Linked DNA regions of Xenopus tropicalis. The protein of the gene in region 3 interacts with the protein of the main gene of each other region in a pairwise test. Links are inferred from orthologs where the notes say so. Each region holds a gene or a part of one and is shown on either strand. Other genes may lie near its edges.

Evidence for each region. The genes of interacting proteins can lie anywhere in the genome.
Region 1: the proteins of srsf11 (region 3) and hyi interact in binary tests that used the Homo sapiens proteins (3 or more experiments, as listed by UniProt). The two-hybrid records come from large-scale screens. The link is inferred for Xenopus tropicalis from reciprocal best matches to the Homo sapiens genes SRSF11 and HYI.
Region 2: the proteins of srsf11 (region 3) and srrm4 interact in binary tests that used the Homo sapiens proteins (3 or more experiments, as listed by UniProt). The link is inferred for Xenopus tropicalis from reciprocal best matches to the Homo sapiens genes SRSF11 and SRRM4.

What each region holds. Positions count from the first base shown.
Region 1 is NC_030680.2:88,655,385-88,658,916, forward strand, and holds part of hyi (putative hydroxypyruvate isomerase), read right to left. Parts: intron 2,236-3,532; coding exon 2,186-2,235; intron 2,034-2,185; coding exon 1,964-2,033; intron 1-1,963. UniProt on the Homo sapiens protein: Catalyzes the reversible isomerization between hydroxypyruvate and 2-hydroxy-3-oxopropanoate (also termed tartronate semialdehyde).
Region 2 is NC_030677.2:165,776,455-165,780,110, forward strand, and holds part of srrm4 (serine/arginine repetitive matrix protein 4), read left to right. Parts: intron 1-872; coding exon 873-965; intron 966-1,913; coding exon 1,914-2,070; intron 2,071-3,656. UniProt on the Homo sapiens protein: Splicing factor specifically required for neural cell differentiation.
Region 3 is NC_030680.2:82,762,569-82,766,224, reverse strand, and holds part of srsf11 (serine/arginine-rich splicing factor 11), read left to right. Parts: exon of another isoform or gene 1-175; intron 176-455; coding exon 456-565; intron 566-2,959; coding exon 2,960-3,052; intron 3,053-3,451; coding exon 3,452-3,501; intron 3,502-3,656. UniProt on the Homo sapiens protein: May function in pre-mRNA splicing.

The DNA.
Region 1 (3,532 bases), about 5.9 Mb from region 3:
GCATCCTTCAGCTTCCCCCAGGCCCCCCCCCAAGTATCCTTTAGCTTCCCCCAGGCCCCCCCCAAGTATCCTTCAGCTTCCCCCAGGGCCCCCCCAAGTATCCTTCAGCTTCCCCCAGGGCCCCCCCAAGTATCCTTCAGCTTTCCCAAGTATTCTTCAGCTTCCCCCAGGGCCCCCCCAAGTATCCTTCAGCTTCCCACAGGGCCCCCCCAAGTATCCTTCAGCTCTCCCCAGGCCCCCCCCCAAGTATCCTTCAGCTTCCCCCAGGGCCCCCCCAAGTATCCTTCAGCTTCCCCCAGGGCCCCCCCAAGTATCCTTCAGCGTCCCCCAGGGCCTCCAAGCATCCTCCAGGTCCCCCACGGCACTCCCAGCATTCTTCAGCTTCCCCCAGGGCCCCCAAGCACCTTCCATTTCCCCCCTAACCTACCCCCAGCGGCCTCTGGCTCCCGTGATGTCTTCCTCTCTGTGCCGCGGCTCCCAGCTGCTTCTGTGCTTTTATAAGGTTGCGCCCTGTGCGTGTGACGTCAGTACGCACGGGCGCAACCTTATAAAAGCGAGGATGCGGCAGAGAGCCGCGGCACAGAGAGGAAGATACTTCGCCGTATAAGACGCACCAACTTTTTCCCCCCAGTTTTGGGGAAGAAAAGGTGCGTCTTATATGGTGAAAAATACGGTATTCGAAAACTTTTTTTTTTTTTTTTTACAAATGTCCATTGTTTGCTGCTTACCCCCCTCCTGTTAAACATACAACTACAATCCACATAAAGTGGTAGCATCACAATAACTACCTTTCTAAGTCACCTAAGTCACCTTTCTACTTTAGACAACCGTTAATAGTAATATAAAGATATATTTCATTTTCTTCCCTTTCACTACAGGCTCAATGGCAAAGGGAAACAAAAGAAAGAATAATTTGTATCCTGGTTCAAACTACTGTAGTTGGAATAAACTGCTGCCACTCTTAAAAGCCATAGGGAATGCTACGTGTTAAAGGGATTCTGTCACATTCATCATTTATATATAATTTATATCATATTAAAGGAGAAGGAAAGGCTAGTAAAGAGTTAATCTCAAGCTGCAGGCATACCTTCAGTTCTCTCAATAGTGCCCTTAAGTCTCCCCATATTTCACCTGTTCAGATGATCAGAAGCCAAACAGGAAGAAAAAACGCTGAGCTCTGTAAAGAAAGTTCCCATAATGCCTCACTCCTGCACAGACATGCAGACCTAGTGAACATGCTCAGTTAGTTAGACTATGAGTCAGCTTCCTGCTGATTGGCTCAGATCCACATTTCTAAAGGGGGGGGAGTGAGCGCTTAGCATTCTTGAGGGAGGGGGGAGCAGGAAAGAGCAGAGAACAGAAAGCTGCGTGTCTCTGGCAGAGGAATTACAGACACAACTAATCTTTTTTCAGAGAAGTCTGTGAGTGCTTATGGCTGTATTTACATAGACCTTTCTGATAAAGCTTACTTAGTTTTTACCTTTCTTTCTCCTTTAAACAAACAAACATTAGTACTGTGACTTCCAAGAATAATGTCACTGCATGAAAAATACAGTAGGAGGCAGGGAGGACTTTAGCACCCAAATACATTATATAGATTTAGAGGCAAAATGTTCTGCCAACCCAGTCCCAGTCCCCACCCCTAACCTTTCAAGAAGCAGGTTACCTAAAGCCTTGGGAAGGTTTCAGCATTGAACAGATCAAAATGAACTCAAAAATTGTTTGAATTGATAATGAAATGCCAGTTTAACCTTTTTCAGTGTCATTATATAAGCAGGGGTGAAAATGATCTGCAACCAGTCCTGCATATTGTTACATATCCAGCCCTGCTTCAAAGGTCATTTTAAGTACTAAAAAACATGTTATTTTATATAATTGATTTTACACATATAGGCAAAAAGTTCCTTTATGTTCATTGAGAAATAGATTTAAGATATATACAGTATAGTTCCATAAAGCTCACCAATTAAAGGAAAATAAGTCTTAATATTCTGTGTCAGGTTACCGCCCATGATCTGCCAATGGTACAGGTCCTGTTATATGAAATACTATGATGAGCAATTAAGTTATAAACAATTCAAACAAAGAATTACAACTTCAAATCAGTAGTAGCTTTGATGGAATATAAAAATATATTTTTCTAGAGAAACAATCACAAACAATGTATTTTGAGGTCAGTACTTACCATCTGAAGCTTTAAATTTGGTCTTTTCACTTTCTGCAGTATTGAGGCAGCTAAAAAATAACATGCTGTTAGCAAGCACAGAATTAAAGAAACATTGCCTACTGTCTTAGTCCATATAGCTACTGTGCCATTTCTTATAAGCATTTGTCATAACCAGGCACTTAGGTTATTTACCCCCGAACTCCACCTACTCCAAGGCTCCGGCACACGTGTGCATTGCTTTGCCCTAAAGTGAAAGGTTTTTGATGTGTATATGCACCCGAATGCTGAACACTGTGCCAGACATTGTGCAAAGAGGGCTGCCTCGGGAATTAAGGGTAGGCAGAGTAGGCAGGAGCCTAGGGCACAGTGTCGGGGAAGGGGGCACAGTTTGTATACATGTACTCCAAACTATACAAGGACCACTCAACAATTTACAGTTGAGTATAAATCCTTCTGCATTCTACGGGCTATGCTCTGCCATGAAATGCTGGTGCCACACTGTGTTATGAAATACTGGTATGGGTCCCTTAATGTGACTGCCTTAAAATGCTGGTGCAGGTTGCCACAATGTATCTATCTGGATGTGCTGATGGCCAGAATGTGTCAACGCTGTGTAATGTAATGAACTGCAGTGGGCCACAATGTGTCTGCCTTCAAATGCTGGAGCAGGGGGCCGCTATGTGTCTGACTTCTATGTTATAAAAAGGGTAAATCCAACTTTCCAAATTAAAATTTACATTTTTTAAAAAAAAAATATATTTTTTTTTGCATTTTTACCCCCTTTAACCACTGCTTTATCAGAACAGTTCCTAGTATACATTTACAAGATGAGTATAAGCTTTGTATTGATTTTCTTAGTGAGATATATAGAATAAAATAGTAGTAGCAACTTCTTTTGGCCATTAGAACCAAAGGACAGCTTGCAACTTTATTTAACAGCCTGAGGCATTTTATTCCCATCAGGTACATATGCATAGGCCTATGACTATGTAACTGAAACAATACAAATAAAGGACTTGGGGGCTTAAAGGAAAACTATACCCCCAAACAATGTAGGTCTCTATAAAAAATATATTGCATACACTAGCTTATATGTAAAACCCTGCTTCATCTAAATAAACCATTTTCATAAAAAAATACTTTTTTTTAGTAGTATGTGCTATTGGGTACTCCTAAATAGAAAATTGCCATTTTAAGAATTAAGGGCCGCCTCCTAGGATTCACAGTGCACACAAACAAGCCAAGGCACACATACATGCTAGGCCACATCAGCCAATTAATGGACAGGGTTCTGCCTTTTGCTTCCACACTTCTTCCTGTTACAGTTAGAGCTGCATTATTTCTGGTCATGTGATCTCTGAGGGA
Region 2 (3,656 bases), on a different chromosome or scaffold from region 3:
AGGAGTGTCTTTTCATTTGCTAATTATGAGCAATCATGTCAAGTGATTTAATTTTTTAATTACAATTTTTTCTAAAGCTGATTTCAAAACATAAAAATTAAAAGAAGTTTACAACTTTGAACTTAATTATGATTTTGCCCCCTCAATTGCTAGCATATTTATAAAATATCTTGAATCAAAAAAACTCAATTGTGTTAAGTTGCTGATAAAACCTTGACACAAAAATTGCAAAAATTGCTAGAATGATGAAACACGCCTCTCATTAACTTCTATAGAAACTTACCCGGTTTTAGTTGCTGCCATTTTCACTAGAATATTCAAGACTTGTTTCATTTATAAACTTTGTTTGAAAATGTAGAATTGGAAAAATTGCAAGATCATGATTTTTGCAGTTTTAAAAACACTTTCTTGAATATTAATAATGTGCACCTTAGTGTTTAGCAATAGGATCTATTATCCAGAATGCTTGGGACCTGGGCTTTTCCAGATAAGGGATCTTTTTGTAATTTGGATCACCATACCTTAGGTGTGCTAAAAATATTTAATACATAAAATAAACCCAATAGAATTGTTTTGGAATCCTACAGCTTAGTTACCATCAAACACAGGAATATTTTATTATTGCACAGGAAAAGGAAATCACTTTTAAAAATTACATTTATTTTGTTAAAATGCCCTTCCTATTAATTTGGAGCTTTCTGGATAACGAGTTTCCCGATAATAAATCCCATATCTGCACTTTGTTGATTAATTTTAAGATACCAACCTTAATATGTCATTAGTGCATTTACTATATTTTATGTTTCTGAAAAATAAAATTTCAATCTACGGTGCTTGCAAGTTGATATGTTTTCTCTGTGCCTTCTACAAAGGTCACGTGGTAGGTCTCGGAAATCCCATCGTCATCATCATCGACATTCACGCTCATCAAGCTCAGAACACAGATCTTCAAGCTGTGAAAACAGGTAATAAGCTAATTATCTCTTGGGCTCTTCAATGGTACTACAATCAACCCTAAACTTTTCTTCATGTCTTGTCCCCCCATCTTGTAATGTTATGATGTTATATTAAGTATAAAAACTTGCACATATGTAATAAAAGGCACAAAACTTGCACAGTTGCAACAGCCCATAGAAACCAATAAGGTGTTTGCTTTTAAACAGGTGACCAGGAAATGCTACCTGCTGATTGGCCGCTGTAGATGATAAAAACTGCAGCAGTACCTTAACACTCATTTGTAATTGGCACAGTAACCCAATAAAATGTTTGCCACTAAATGCTTTTTGCTTGGTTGCTATAGGTAATTAGAAAAGTAGCAAACTTTGCACCTTTTACTGCATCTCCCCTTTAGTTTCTTAAAATAACATGAACATAAAAGTTTAAAGGAGAAGGAAAGGTTAAGTCACTTGGGGGTGCCAAAATGTTAGGCACCCCCAAGTGACTTAAATCGCATAATTTTTACCCCGGGCTGGTGCCCCTGTTCGGAGAGAACAGCACCAGCCCGGGGTAGCTGCGAGCGCTTCCTCTTCCGTATTCGCTGCGCGCGCATGCGAAGTTGAGTGAAAAAGCCGAACTTAAACATAGAAGTTGGCTTTTCACTCTACTGCGCATGCGCCGGCCCACGGATTTCGCCGGCAGCTCGCTGCAGGTACCCCGGGCTGGTGCTGTTTTCTCCTAACAGGGGCACCAGCCCGGGGTACAAGGTAAGTGATCTAAGTCACTTGGGGGTGCCTAACATTTTGGCACCCCCAAGTGACTTAGCCTTTCCTTCTCCTTTAAAATATTCTCTTCCGTCTTTTATATTGTCAATTGAGCTTTGCAAGTTGTTATACAATTGTACAATCCCGAGTAACTTACTGGCACTATATAAATGAATGATGATGTTCAAAAAACTTTCTTTTCTTTAATTACAGACTATATGATCAGTCAAAAGAGGAAAAACATCGATCAAAAAGAAAGCGACAAAGATGTAGAAATTCTAGGTCCGTAAACAAGAAAGAGAGGAAAGGCAAAAATCAATACAGCCCCCTGTCAACAAAAAACAGGTGTATGCACTCCACCAATACTGAAGTAAGTAGATCTTTTCAGTCTAAAGTTGCCCTTTTCACAAGGAAAGTGGGTGATTATATAATGTTGTAACTGTAGTGCCAGAAGGGCCTGGAAAATATTTATCAAATCCTCCATTTATTGATTCCTAAAACAAACAGATTTATTAATATTCTTTACCAGAGGCTGTTGAATTGGCACAATGGTGAGACTGCAACATGGGTTTATGTAGTAACACTGAAAAGGTGGGCCAGTCCAGTAACCAATAACAACTAATAAAAAATGTATAGTGAGCATAAGTGCAATTGGCAAACAGCCAATTGCAGGGTCCTCCCAAGTCAATAGGTGTGATTCGGTGTGACCGAAGAATTAATGTCCCTCCAGTGGAATTTCATGGTTCAGGGAAGCAGCGCCTCTCTGTCCACAATAGCGCTTTCTGCACCAGAAGAGCCAAAATCCCAATTTTAAAACATAATTTCTGCTATTTAAATTACCTGGTAACTTGCAGGGTGCTGCTGCCTGAGGTGAGTTTCTCAGCTTGCTCATGGCAGCAGCACCGATGTGTCCCTCTTAACTTTGCAAAAGTGTAGAGCAGCTTTAGGCACAAGGTGGGCAGCCACTACTGCACTTGTGGCTTGTAAATGACATTTCTCAATGCATATTGATGGTAAATCATGTTCAGTTTCCTGAAGAGGGGATGTCAATGTCCTAAAAGTTTGCATGGTTTTCTTAGTAGTATAGCAAGGATATAAAAAATAGTCTCTCCCAGGCTGGGTTGTCCATTTTTTTACTTTACTTCCTATTCAGTTCTTCACCTATTCATATTTCACTCTCTTTTAAATCACTGCCTGGTGACTGGGATAAATAAGACCGCAGCAACCAGATATCTGCTAAAATACCAAACTGGAAATCTGCTGAACAGAAAACTTAACAATTAAAAAACCACAAAAAATAACATAAGACCAAAACTGTCTTAGAATATCAATGTCTACATCATACTAAAAGTAAATGTAAAGGTAAACAATACCTTTTAAGGTGGCCACACACAGGGTGATGTATACAGTATTCCAAATGATCATCCCTGGGCCAAAAGGGTTTCCTATCTATTGGCTGATATTGACTATCATCTCAGCCACTTTTACTTCTGACAGGAATTTGGGCAGATATTGAAATAGCCCCAAAATGCTGCCAATCCCAGGCAGGTCTGCAAGCCCCCCCATGTTATCCCACTTTTCAAGAATCAGGTAAGAATCAGCTAATTTGGTGACCTTGTTAAAACAGGACATACAATTTGGCCATAGACTGCCTAAAGTTTACTTTCAATTTGAATAACTATTGAACTTGACTCATGAGCATGCATCTGTGGCCAGGTCTGATCACTGGGGACCCACCCCATGCAGCCAAAAGATAATAACACAAAGACAGATGGGATCATTAGTCCGCCACAATAATTACCCAATTATTTAAAATCAGATTGTAAGGATATATTTTTAGTATATCCAGTCATAGTTAAAGTTCAACATATTTGGCCAAAAACACCCATATTTTCTGTAGGTGGCTATTTTAACTTGGAGAAGCAAAAGTCTGTTTACAAACGTCTAACAAAATGA
Region 3 (3,656 bases):
AATCCCTAAATCAAACTTTTTTGTCTTGTGTATCTTGATTTTTCTGTGTGCTTTATAGTGAAGCAGCCGACACGAGTCGTTGTTCATAAAACAGCTTTTGAAAGTTGAGAGCACACCCCTGGAGAACCGACTGTGCTTGCTTACGTTTGGTTCATGACTTAAAATTCGAGTACAGGTGATAAAATCTCGGCAGTGTTAACACAAAAAGTAGTGTATATTGTGCAGTTTTTTTTCTACCCTAGATCAATTAACCAAATTGTTATTAAAAGAAAACAAAGGGATAAGTCAGAATTACTGGCTTAGAATTAAAAGTTAACTGTATATAGTGCTAGAAGCTGGCAGCCAAATATGTGCTTCCAGCAAGCTCAACTGATAGAGCAGGGAGACCGTGTCTGCAAATTGTTTGTTTTAACGTCACAAAACAGTGCATCTAATACTTGGTGGTTTTTCTGCAGGAATAATTCCTGATGAGGCCAAAGCCCTGTCATTGGTGGCGCCAGCTAATGCAGTTGCAGGCTTACTGCCCGGAGGAGGGCTTCTTCCCACTCCTAATCCACTCAGTCAGGTATGTATTACACGTTTTTATGATTTTACAACTTAAAATCAATTATAAGGGTGATAGCAGATGGGAGGTTTTGTCAACAGTGCTTAATGTTCCTTCTGCCAGGGCCCTAAGTTTAACGATAGCCACTTAGCCAAGATATAGACACGTCCAAACATACACATGGAGCAAGAGCAGCTGCAGGGTTTAGAATATGAATTCTGAGTCTGTTGTCCTCCATAAACTGATTAGGCTGTGATTTGTGTCTGTGTTGAGGTGTAGCGGAACATACATGTTTAAAAGAGATCTAACTTTTGATAAAGTAGGGTAGAATGCCGCACGCGTCTAGTATTGTTTTGGAGTTCTGATCCAACCAGAGGCTTTTAGCTGAGTAGATTTAAAGGTACAGTATACACCTAAAAAAACACCTTTGCTAAACATTAACTCAATAAATAAAAAGTGCTTGTGTTGAAATCGCATCCTGCCTATTGTTTTAATTTAAAAAAAAAATCCATATTTTCATATTTGTCACATAAAGCACTAATTTGTATAAACAGGGCAATTTGTTCAGCGGTCCCTATTAAACAAACCAGCACCTCCCTTCTCTAAGCTGTAGACATTTAACAGCTTATTATCAAGGGCTTCTTGGTGGACTGTTAATTCATTGTATCGGTTTCTCTGAAGTTCTCCTGCATCAGAAAGTTACAGGAAGTGCTAAAGTGAAACTGCCTTCATTTTTGTGTTTAGTGCCAGAAATGACAGAAACCATAGATATTATTTAATAAAGTTGAAACCCCATTTATGTGTTTCGGGGGATTGAAATATCAGGGAGATACACTATACATTATATGTTGGTGTGTAAAAATGAGGGAACTATGTAATAGTTATATCTAAACAGTATTTATTGATATTTGTATTTTGTAAAAGAAGATCTATACAATGGTAAAGTTGTGGACATGTGATAATTGTAGGACGTTTTTGCAATTGCACTGACAATTTATACTTATTACCTCACAGAACTCCTAAATTGCTTTAAGAAAAAACTAGATTGTTCTCAACTTGCAAACATAAAGACCAGACATTTTGTTGCTGCTCATATCAAGGCAGAATCCTTTATTCTAGAGGGTGTGTTGTCCCCACAGCTTTATCTCCTCCATTGTGGGTGACAAAAACCATCAGAAATTCTATGAACAAAAGGCAATGCGACTCACTGGTGTTAAAACATCTGAATTATTTAACTGTCAGAAAATGCATTTTCTGTTGGTTACATTTTAGCGTCAAAAATTCACACTGCCTTCTATTCAGAGCAGTTTTCTGATGTTTTATTGACCACAATGGAGCAAATTTAATGGCAGGGATATATTAAATGTGCCATTCCTCTAAAAGACCAAGCCTACTTGCGTTTTGTTACAGGGAAACATTCAGCTTCCAAGTGCCTCTTATGTACAGGACTGTCCTTAAGGGGGCATGGGCCAGGATCTTTCATTTTAATTATCAGGTCAAACACGCCCTCCTGTATATATCCAAACAAATATGTTGTTCATACTATTTTTTGACAAGATAGGGTGGTTGTCGTTTTCATATTACTGCTTTCAGTACAACCTTTTTACCTTCTCTATAGGTTGAAGTGAAACTGTGGCCTCATTGAAAAGTGCTTGACAAATGGTAGAATCTATTATTTTGGCACCAGCACTTCTCAAACAGTGTACTGTATAGGCTATATAAACAGTGATTTTCATAATTGGAATAGTTAACTGTTTGTAGTTGTATACCTAGGGGCTGATTTACTAATCCACGAATCCGAATGGGAAAAATTTGGATTGGAAAACGAACATTTTGCGACTTTTTCGTATTTTTTGCGACTTTTTCGTAGCCGTTACGACTTGCGCTTATTGTCGCGACTTTTTCATAGCCATTACAAATTTCGTGAATTGTCGCAACTTTTTCATAGCCATTATGACTTTTGTGAATTGTCGCGACTTTTTCATAGCCGTTACGACTTTCGCGAATTGTCGCGACTTTTTCGTATTGAGCGCTCGAAAAAGTCGCAAAATACCATTCATTACGAAAAAAACGCATTCGGACGCTTTTCGGACGTTCGTGGATTAGTAAATGTTCCCCCTAGTGTTTGAGGCATTGCAGCCAAATGTCTGTCATGGCCCTTGCAACATTTGAAATTGCTATTTAGGCATATACTAAAACATACAAGAAGTTTACTTTGTATTAACTTCTAAAATTGCCTGCATTGGAGTTGTATATCCATTTTTAGTTTCTAACTGCGCGCTAGATCAGTTTGACTTCTAAGTGTATCCTTCTATTGTTGTACACAAAATCTTGCTAAGCCAAAATAAGCAATTGTGAGAAATATATTTTCTGTATAGCTATGTGTTGAACATTTTTACTTTTTTCCCCACATAGATTGGTGCTGTCCCACTTGCTGCATTGGGAGCCCCTACACTTGATCCAACTCTTGCAGCCCTCACTCTTCCTGGAGCAAACTTAAATTCACAGGTACCTCCTGTTTATAATCTGCTTATTTACTAGGTGGATGTTTGCATGCATGGCTATTTACCTTGCTTGTGTTTCAAATGAAAGCATCCCTTTTGTCTTGAGAACCTCATGTGTGACTCTGTCTCTGTAACTTATTACAGTTTATATAGATTTGTTTAAGGTATTTAAAATCAAAACAGCAAATGTAGAGTGGGCAGAGGAATGCTGAAAACTTTTGCAGGTATTTCTTAAATGGTGCAAAATTATTAATGCAGGTAAATTTGGTGATAAGTTTGTGTGGGGAACCCAAAAATTGATTGTGTTTTTGACTATATAGATCCCCTTTAAACATATCCATTCATATGTAAGATATGTCATATGTAATGTTTTAATCTTCTAAGCTTGTGTATTTTCTTTCAGTCTCTGGCAGCAGATCAGCTTTTAAAGCTTATGAGCACCGTTGATCCAAAGTAAGTTTCCCTAATTCTATTTATTTGTAGGTTTTTTTGTTTTGTTTTTTGGTAGCTTCTCAAGTAGCTCTCTACCCAACTATAGTTTGTAATTTTTAATGGTTACACCCTGTAACACATGGTATTTCCATAATCCAGTTAGCATATCTATAACC